Callithrix jacchus: one gene and its partner. The protein of the gene in region 1 purifies or fractionates together with the protein of each later gene. This does not show direct contact. Links are inferred from orthologs where the notes say so. Each region holds a gene or a part of one and is shown in the gene's direction. Other genes may lie near its edges.

What was found. The genes of interacting proteins can lie anywhere in the genome.
Region 2: the proteins of HSF1 (region 1) and HNRNPA2B1 purify together in Homo sapiens (affinity purification with mass spectrometry; 3 studies listed by BioGRID, with this or other methods). This does not show direct contact. The link is inferred for Callithrix jacchus from reciprocal best matches to the Homo sapiens genes HSF1 and HNRNPA2B1.

The regions. Positions count from the first base shown.
Region 1 is NC_133517.1:53,330,487-53,335,365, reverse strand, and holds the start of HSF1 (heat shock factor protein 1), read left to right. Parts: upstream 1-1,451; 5' UTR 1,452-1,604; coding exon 1,605-1,721; intron 1,722-2,046; exon of another isoform or gene 2,047-2,248; intron 2,249-2,348; exon of another isoform or gene 2,349-2,486; intron 2,487-2,966; exon of another isoform or gene 2,967-3,101; intron 3,102-4,879. Other genes in the region: ribosome biogenesis protein BOP1, read right to left, coding at 1,149-1,223. UniProt on the Homo sapiens protein: Functions as a stress-inducible and DNA-binding transcription factor that plays a central role in the transcriptional activation of the heat shock response (HSR), leading to the expression of a large class of molecular chaperones, heat shock proteins (HSPs), that protect cells from cellular insult damage.
Region 2 is NC_133512.1:31,908,017-31,911,827, forward strand, and holds the end of HNRNPA2B1 (heterogeneous nuclear ribonucleoproteins A2/B1), read left to right. Parts: intron 1-970; coding exon 971-1,090; intron 1,091-1,345; coding exon 1,346-1,468; intron 1,469-2,088; coding exon 2,089-2,150; 3' UTR 2,151-2,171; intron 2,172-2,327; 3' UTR 2,328-2,826; downstream 2,827-3,811. UniProt on the Homo sapiens protein: Heterogeneous nuclear ribonucleoprotein (hnRNP) that associates with nascent pre-mRNAs, packaging them into hnRNP particles.

The DNA.
Region 1 (4,879 bases):
AGGCTGAGGCAGGAGAATTGCCTGAACCCAGGAGGCGGAGGTTGCAGTGAGCCAAGATCGCGCCATTGCACTCCAGCCTGGGTAACAGGAGCGAAACTCCGCCTAAAAAAAAAAGAAAAAAAAAATACAAAAATTAGCTGGTGGTGGCAGGCGCCTGTATCCCAGCTACACAGGAGGCTGAGGCTGCAGTGAGCCAAGATCAAGCCACTGCACTCCAGCCTGGGCAACAGAGCGAGACTCTGTCTCAAAAAAAAGGAAAGAAAAAGGAAGCAGTTGAATGCAAAATTCTAGATTTTACTGTTTTCCTAATAGCTTACAAGTCTCACTTAAGGAAGGAACCGAATTTATCAGCTATTGTATACTGAGTTTTCACACAATGCCTCTGTCACAGAGTCATGATGCGTCTCCAGTGTTCAGTTAGCTACACAATCAGAGTAACCAGTGAAAATGGCATGCCTGATCTGGGACAAACACAACTGGCTCCTGAGGACCATTTAGCCCAAGGGTGGAAGTAGAACCTGGCTGACGCCTAGAGCTGCCTGCGGGCCTTTCAGTCGGGATGGGGAGCAGGATGAATTCGCTTCACAAAGCAATGGGGCAGTTTCAACAACCCAGTGCGGCCGAGGGGGCTGTGAGGGGCTGGCTGTCCATTTCCTCCAACACCCAATTTTACGACCCCCCCAATCAAGCCGGGGCTGAGCTGGCAGAGAACAACAGTGAATTCTGATACAGCAAATGCAGCAGATATGGGTTCTATTCAGGTTTTCTTATTCTCATGTCTAACTCGTGACCATAAAAACGAAATTAAGTAGCGTACAAATAGGTTAAGCATTTACTGGGGGGCGCAAGCCGAGCCCTTTTATTGGCAGGATGCACAAACGGAACGGCTGGAGAGTCTGCTGCAAGGGCCCGGTCCCCACTTCTCCCCGCTCCCCCGTTTCTTTGCTTACTGGACGCGGTCCTTCACCCCGCAGTCCGCTCTGCCTAGGACGCCCCCCGCAGAGGAGCTGCGGCCACGCGCAAGGCCGAGTTACGGGACACGGGCGCCCAGATGACAGCCGCAGCCGGGCCCGCCGGCCCCCGCGCGGCCACGTGCACGCCGCGTCCCGATAGGGACGCGCCCCTCCGCCCTGCATCCCTGCAGTCACCTTTGGCTCGGGCTCAGGTTCCAACGCGGGCTCCGACCGCCGCTTCCACGGCCGCACGCTGAGCGAATCCGCCATGTCCCGCCGCGCGCCGGCCGCGAGCCCAACTGCCGCTTCCGGCAGCGATAGGGCCGCGTGCGCAGGAGGGTGCGCCCCGCCCAACCTGGTCCCGATTGGCGGGTGACGGAGGCGGGACGAGCACGCGCAGGCTCCCGGAGGGGCCGGGGCGGGGTCGGGGCCTGCGTGCGCGCGCCGGGGGTGACGCCGGAGGGCGGTGGCGGCGGCGGCGGCGGCGGGAGCGCGCCCGTTGCAAGATGGCGACGGCCATGCTGGGCCCCGGGGCTGTGTGTGCGCAGCGGGTGGCACTGCGGCCTGGGCGGCTGGCGCGGCGACGGCGCTAGCCCGGCCCTCGATCCCCCTTCGCGGCCGCTCCCTCCGCCTCTTCCCGCCTTCCCCGACATGGATTTGCCAGTGGGCCCCGGCGCCGCTGGGCCCAGCAACGTCCCGGCCTTCCTGACCAAACTGTGGACCCTCGTGAGCGACCCGGACACTGACGCGCTCATATGCTGGAGCCCGGTAAGGGCAGCGCGCGGGCGTGGGGCCCGTGGGGACCGGGAGGGAGCAGGGCCGCGGCGGACGGCGCGGGAGGGGCTCGGCGAGGGGACTGGAGAGCCGGGCCCAGCCGCACCTTGGCTTCCGCGGAGTGAGCCTGCCATGGCCCCGCCGGAGAAGGGCGACGGGTCCCGAGCTTGCCCAGACCCAGAGCCTTAGGTTGGGAAAGTGGCTGCGAGGCCCATTCCCGGTTTAATTCCTGCCCTAGCGAAGTTTCCTTGGGATGGGGTGAATGGGGCGTCCCCTGCCTTGGGCTTCTGCTAACTGTTGGGCGGTTGCGGAAGTGTCTGCACTTGGGGCAAGCGCCCGGCTTCGACAGCGGACGCTGTGCCCCAGGGGACATCGGCGTCCCCAGGGCATGGCCTACGGGGTGCTGGGTCGGCAGCTATTCCGAGAAAGTCAGGACTTGGCACGTGAAGCGGAGGGCGTTGCTGTAGTGGAACAGGAAAGGCCGTGAAAACAGAAAGTAAGAAGACGTCATGAAGCTTCAGGTTGATCTCAAGCCCGTTTCCAAATCCCAAATCTGGGTTTCCCAAGAGGAGTTTGTTTCCATTCCTTACGGGGCGTCTTTATTCGTGCCTCTGTCTTCAGTTGCCTGGCAGCAGGCTTGTTTACATGATCCGACCCTGCAACACCGGACAGCTCCGGTTTGCAGAAGTAAATCAGCGAATTGTCTGGAGTTGGAGATCAGAATCTGCTGTTCGCATCCCGGTTGTGACGTCGTGTCCGGTGAGGGGCAGAGCCACAGCCCATGGCTGGCAATTGATGGCCTGAAGAAAGGCCACACTGGCCGAGCAGGGTGTCTCCTGCCTGTAATCCCCGCACTTTAGGAGGCAGAGGGGGTGGATCACTTGAGGCCAGGAGTTCGAGACCAGCCCGGACAATTTGGCGAATCCCCCACTCTACTAAAAATGAAAAAATTAGCCGAGCTTGGTGGCACTTGCCTGTGGTCCCAGCTACTTGGGAGGCTAAGGTAGGAGCATCCCTTGAACCTGGGAGGCAGAGGTTGCAGTGAGCTGAGATCCTGCCACTGCACTCCAGCCTGGGCAAGAGTGAGACCCTGTCTCAGACAAAACACAGAAAGCCACTGATAATTGGGAGCTTTTGGAGGGACTGTGACAGGCGGGGTGCCACCAAACATGTGTGGCCTCCCAGGAGCTAAGACTCCAGAGCTCTTCAGGCTCTGCTGAGTGCCTCCTGTTTGCACAGCCTCCTTATGCTGTTAGGAATGAAGAAAAGTGAACTGAAGCTGACCCAGCCAGGAGGCCAGGTTTTCTGCTTCTCAGGTTTACTGAGGCTCTGCTTTACCTACAGAGTGTTTGGGAATAAAGAGAAGACTGGAAATCTTGCTCTTGTTAGAAACTCTTTGTATGTGTCCTGCTGATGCCTCTGCGTTGGCTTCCCATTCCCAAGTCCCCATAAGGTGAGGTGCAGTGCACCTTCCTGCAGCCTGACTTCACTTCACCCTCTTCACTCTAGACCTTGGCATTCTTATGCAAAGGAAATTCTCCCATGTTTCTGTCTTCTTTAATCCTTCTTTTTCTTTTTTCTTTTTTTTTTTTTGAGACAGAGTCTAGCTCTGTCGCCCAGGCTGGAGTGTGCAGTGGCTCAATCTCAGCTCACTGCAACCTCCACCTCCCAGGTTCAAGCAGTTCTCCTACCTCAGCCTCCTAAGTAGCTGGGATTACAGGTGCATGCCACCACTCCTGGCTAACTGTTGTATTTTTAGTAGAGATGGGGTTTCACCACGTTGGCCAGGCTGGTCTGGAACTCCTGACCTCAAGTGATCCACCCACCTTGGCCTCCCAAAGTGCTGGGATTACAGTGAGCCACGGCGCCCAGCCCTTCTTTTTCCTATTCCCCTTAACTCTCAGAAGTACTCTCCTGCCCCTTCGGGGAGGGGCATCCGAGATTCTCTGGGATATTCTAAGCCTAATCCTACTAGCATGACCTATTCTGTCCTGTAGTCTGCTTGCTGTTTCTGCTTAAAGATTATGAGGCGTGTGGGTTAGGTCCCAGCGTACTGTTTTTGGGACCAAGGCATGTCTTGGGCAGGGCTTTTGAGCAAAGGAGGCAGATGTGATCAGGCCTGTGGCTGGCCTCCACTCCACTCACAGGTGTACCACCTGTGGGCCTGTTCTCCCTGGGGAGGGATGGGGAGCTGACTGGAATGTGAGTGTTGGTTCCACCTGGTCAGTATGAAGTGGCCATGGTTGGTGTGGGACATAGCAGTGGGGGCTAGCATGGCAATGAGACAGAAACACTGACTTAGAATGGAAAGAAGCTCTTCTCCAGGTTGGGCAGGGGAATGCAGAGCTTTCTGGCCCTGGCTGCCTATCCTGGAGAAAGGAGGTGATCATCCCATCCTGTGGCTTTGACGGCACTCACACAAGCCCTGAGGACTCCCTGTTGGCAGAGTCCCAAAAGGGGACCCTACCATCAACCTACTGGCCAGGCCCTGCTGGCTGTCGGAGGCCTTAGAAAGCCCTGCTCCTCATGCTGTCTGCTGCCTTCTCTGGGACAGTCCCCTTCTGGCTCAGAGTCTTACCACCATTCTGCCAAGGAAAACCATCCCTGTTTGTCATAAGAAGATAAGGCAGAATTACAGGCATGGTGACTGACTTTCAAGGCTGAATTACTTGGGGGAGACTGAGGCCCAAAAACTGGCCAGTGACTTCACTGCACCTGGCCAGGAATGGGACCAGGTCTGGACAGCCATTGCACTTCCCCTTCCTGGCCTGAGATCTGGACTCCACTGCAGCCAGGAGGCAGAACACTGGCTCGCTGCCCAGGAGAGCTCGTTTCATGGGGACTGTGGTAGTTGCCCCATCCCTGTGGTGTTTGATTTCCCACCCCCTAGACCCTCATTCCCACGTGTGCCCAACCACACAGGCAAGGGCCTAGAGGGGACCCAGCAAGTCATGGAGGACAGCATAGCCCTGCCTGCCCTGGAGAGGAATTGTGTCATCCACAAAGTTATGATCACAGGTGGATCCACACAAGAGCATAGGCATGGACATGGGTGGTCCTCCCTCAGCAACTTCTCAACAGCTTATCCGAAAGGCGCACCTGGATCCAGTACCGCTGAGACCTAAAGACATGGGGGGTGTGGGTGCTGAATA
Region 2 (3,811 bases), on another chromosome or scaffold:
TGACTTTTATAATGAAAATTTTAATTTTTGTTATTGTACTTAACTATAATTTGAGACTCAGCCCCCAGGCTTTTTTGTAAGTTTTGTTTTATGTGAAAGTAAATTTTTCTTTCCCCACTTCTATTTAGGATACGGTAAAGAACATATTTAGTGGAGTGTTGGGTCTTCTCCCCCCCCCCCCCTTCTTTGAGATGGTGTCTGGCCTCCTTCCTCAGACTGGAGTGCAGTGGTGAGATCTTGGCTCACTGCAACCTTGGCCTCCAGCCATCCTCTCACCTTAGCCTCCTGAGTAGCTGAACTACAAGGGTGTGCACCATTATGGATAATTTTGTGTTTTTTTTTTTTTTTTTTGGTTTGGAGAGGGGTTGCTATGTTGCCCTGACTGGTCTTGAGCTCGTGGGCTCAAGCAAGCTGCCTGCCTCAGTTTCTCAAATTGCTGGGATTACAGGCTTGAGGCCAAGATTGCAGTGAGCCAAGATCACAGCACTGCACTCCAGTCTGAGGAAGTCTGAAAAGCCAGCTAAGTACATGGTTTTAGAAAGATACGGTAATTCGTAGGTAGACGTAATAGAAACTTTTATCTTTTGGGCTAGTAAGAGGAGGTGCTCTTTTACTTCCCTTAAGCCCACTATTAGTCTAGTTTTGCAATCGTTAGCCAAAATGTACGTGCAGTATTTCAAGATACTTTGAAAAGGTAACCTTAAGATAGTTTTAAGGGAAAACTGAGGCATTACAGGTATTGTCAGAGTATAGACATGGTGTTGTCCATTTGGCTGGGTAGGCACCTCAGCCATCAAATGTTTACCAAGGGTATGTATTCAGCCCTTGAGGCTATTTTATTTTAGAGGGATCTCACTGAATGTTTCACATACAAACGTGTATTTTTGAAAAGTTATAAATGGGTGTGAGAGACAGTTAAGAATGTCATTAAAAATATTAAGTGATTACTTAAAGGCTTATTTTATAATAGGTGGCAATTTTGGAGGTAGCCCTGGTTATGGAGGAGGAAGAGGAGGATATGGTGGTGGAGGACCTGGATATGGCAACCAGGGTGGGGGCTACGGAGGTGGTTATGACAACTATGGAGGAGGTAATAAATTCACAGGCAATTATCTGGGAATTTATAAGATCCTTTATTTGGGGAATTGGGGGTGGAATCAATGGTTTTGTAACACTTGATCTTTTATTTCAATATTTGTCACTGGAGGCCCTTAAAAGTTAAAGATAAGTGTTTGGTTTTATTTGTTTTTGTGGGAGCTTTGGCCTGAATAGTCAGTATGTATCATTGGTTTAATGTTTGTATTGTTCTGAGGTCCATTATGTCAGTATTTCAATTTATTTATAGGAAATTATGGCAGTGGAAATTACAATGATTTTGGAAATTATAACCAGCAACCTTCTAACTACGGTCCAATGAAGAGTGGAAACTTTGGTGGTAGCAGGAACATGGGGGGACCATATGGTGGAGGTAATTTATAACTAAAAATTGAGATTGTTCAGGTTTTTGTGATTAAAGGTTTAGCCTTTCGTGATTTAAAGGGAAGATACCATACTAAGTAGTTCGTATTTGGACAGTGCTCTATATGCGGTCTTAATGCATAAGTCTCCAGAAATACTTTAGCAAGCAATTAATATCAAATTGTGGTGGAAGTGGGGATGTTGAGAAGTTGAAAGAATTTCCGGTAGGGGCTCATAAACAGCCAAGTAAAAATACAACCAGCATTGCAATGGGTATAAATTTGGTATGAGGGTCTTTGAAGTTAAATACTTCCAACTGTGATTCAAACCATTGCTTAGTTTATTCTTGAGGTTTTTAGCAGGACTATACATTTTGTGTTGTGCTTGATGTACTTTAAAAAAATCTTAGTCCAAATGATGGTGAGAGGACCAACCCTTTATTGAAAAGAATAGTGTCAGCCACAAAATTAAAACCTGAGTAATTGATCTCCCAAGTAATACTGCTAACTGGCTGCAGAAGTTAGGATCTGCTTGTTTTAAAGATTTGATAGATATAAAATAGAATCAACTGTAGTAGGCTGATCATGGGAAATCTAAGTTTGTTTTCTCTCTCTGTTCCAACAATTCTAGGAAACTATGGTCCAGGAGGCAGTGGAGGAAGTGGGGGTTATGGTGGGAGGAGCCGATATTGAGCTTCTTCCTCTTTGCCATGGGTAAGTAGCTTTTGAGTTTTACAATTATTATTATCTTGGGAGATCTAGCTGCAGGAGTAAAAGCTTTTTAGGATCATGTTATCTTTCCTTAAAATCTGGTTAGATGGATAATTTCATAACCTATTTTTTTTTTACTCTTTACTTCTGTTGAAACAGGCTTCACTGTATAAATAGGAGAGGATGAGAGCCCAGAGGTAACAGAACAGCTTCAGGTTATCGAAATAACAATGTTAAGGAAACTCTTATCTCAGTCATGCATAAATATGCAGTGATATGGCAGAAGACACCAGAGCAGATGCAGAGAGCCATTTTGTGAATGGATTGGATTATTTAATAACATTACCTTACTGTGGAGGAAGGATTGTAAAAAAAAAAAAATGCCTTTGAGACAGTTTCTTAGCTTTTTAATTGTTGTTTCTTTCTAGTGGTCTTTGTAAGAGTGTAGAAGCATTCCTTCTTTGATAATGTTAAATTTGTAAGTTTCAGGTGACATGTGAAACCTTTTTTAAGATTTTTCTCAAAGTTTTGAAAAGCTATTAGCCAGGATCATGGTGTAATAAGACATAACGTTTTTCCTTTAAAAAAATTTAAGTGCGTGTGTAGAGTTAAGAAGCTGTTGTACATTTATGATTTAATAAAATAATTCTAAAGGAAATTGTGTAATTATAGACTTTTTATTTTAAATAAGTTAAGGAGTGGGTAGTATAATTAAGGTTCGTTGCAAAGCTGTTGTTATATTTGTGTAAGATAAATGCTGGTCAGATGTAAGTGTGTTGTCTGCAATTCATCAGGATTAAATTATGTAGATAACTTAAGGGATATCTCTGCAAGGAGAAACACCTTTTTAGATCTTTTAGATGCTGCTTCTTCAATGCAAGGAAAGGAAATAACCCCAGCGAGGTACTCTTCAGGGACACAGGTCTAGTACAAGAGAACTCTTGACGGCTACTAAGTTCAGCCAGTCTTAAAAAACTGTGCTGTTTCTACAAAACTTTAACTACAGTAGTTTATAAGGATGCCAACGAAAGCTGAGGGTGTAGAGCAAAATAGTTCTAAGCTTCAGTTAAACTTCTTTAGGTAAGATCTTATTTACTTTTCCTTTCTTAATTTTCCTCCCTAAAAGATAAACTAATATTCTTCAATGGTCTTTCAGTATAGTGGTTCTTACGTAGTTTAACATAGCTATAAATTGAGTTTAACAATTTATAAACTCAAGAGAATTTTTATAAACCCTGTTTTCCAATCTGTCATTTACTTAAATTATTTTGGTTGTTCCCTTTTTTTCCTCCTTTCCCTCCCCTCCCCCTCCATGTGAAGATTCAGGTGCTTAACATATCATTTTTTTCCCTGCTGGAATTTTAGCATTGATATGAGCCATGGACAAGTATATTCTGCTGCCACAAAGACTGTAAAGTGCTTCATTTCAACAGCTGAGGCAAGCCAAGTGATCATTAATAAAGCTTTTCTTGGTTCCTTCAGTGGTGTTGGTAGTAAAATGGTAGGTAAAAGTTAGGCTGCAAGTTGAATAAATATGAGATTTCCCATCGTTACACCCTTGTGTATTCACATTTCTTGTATCAAACATTTTGAGTGAACTTAGGGGTTTTTATTAAAGACATTTGTTCTATTTATGGTTCTAG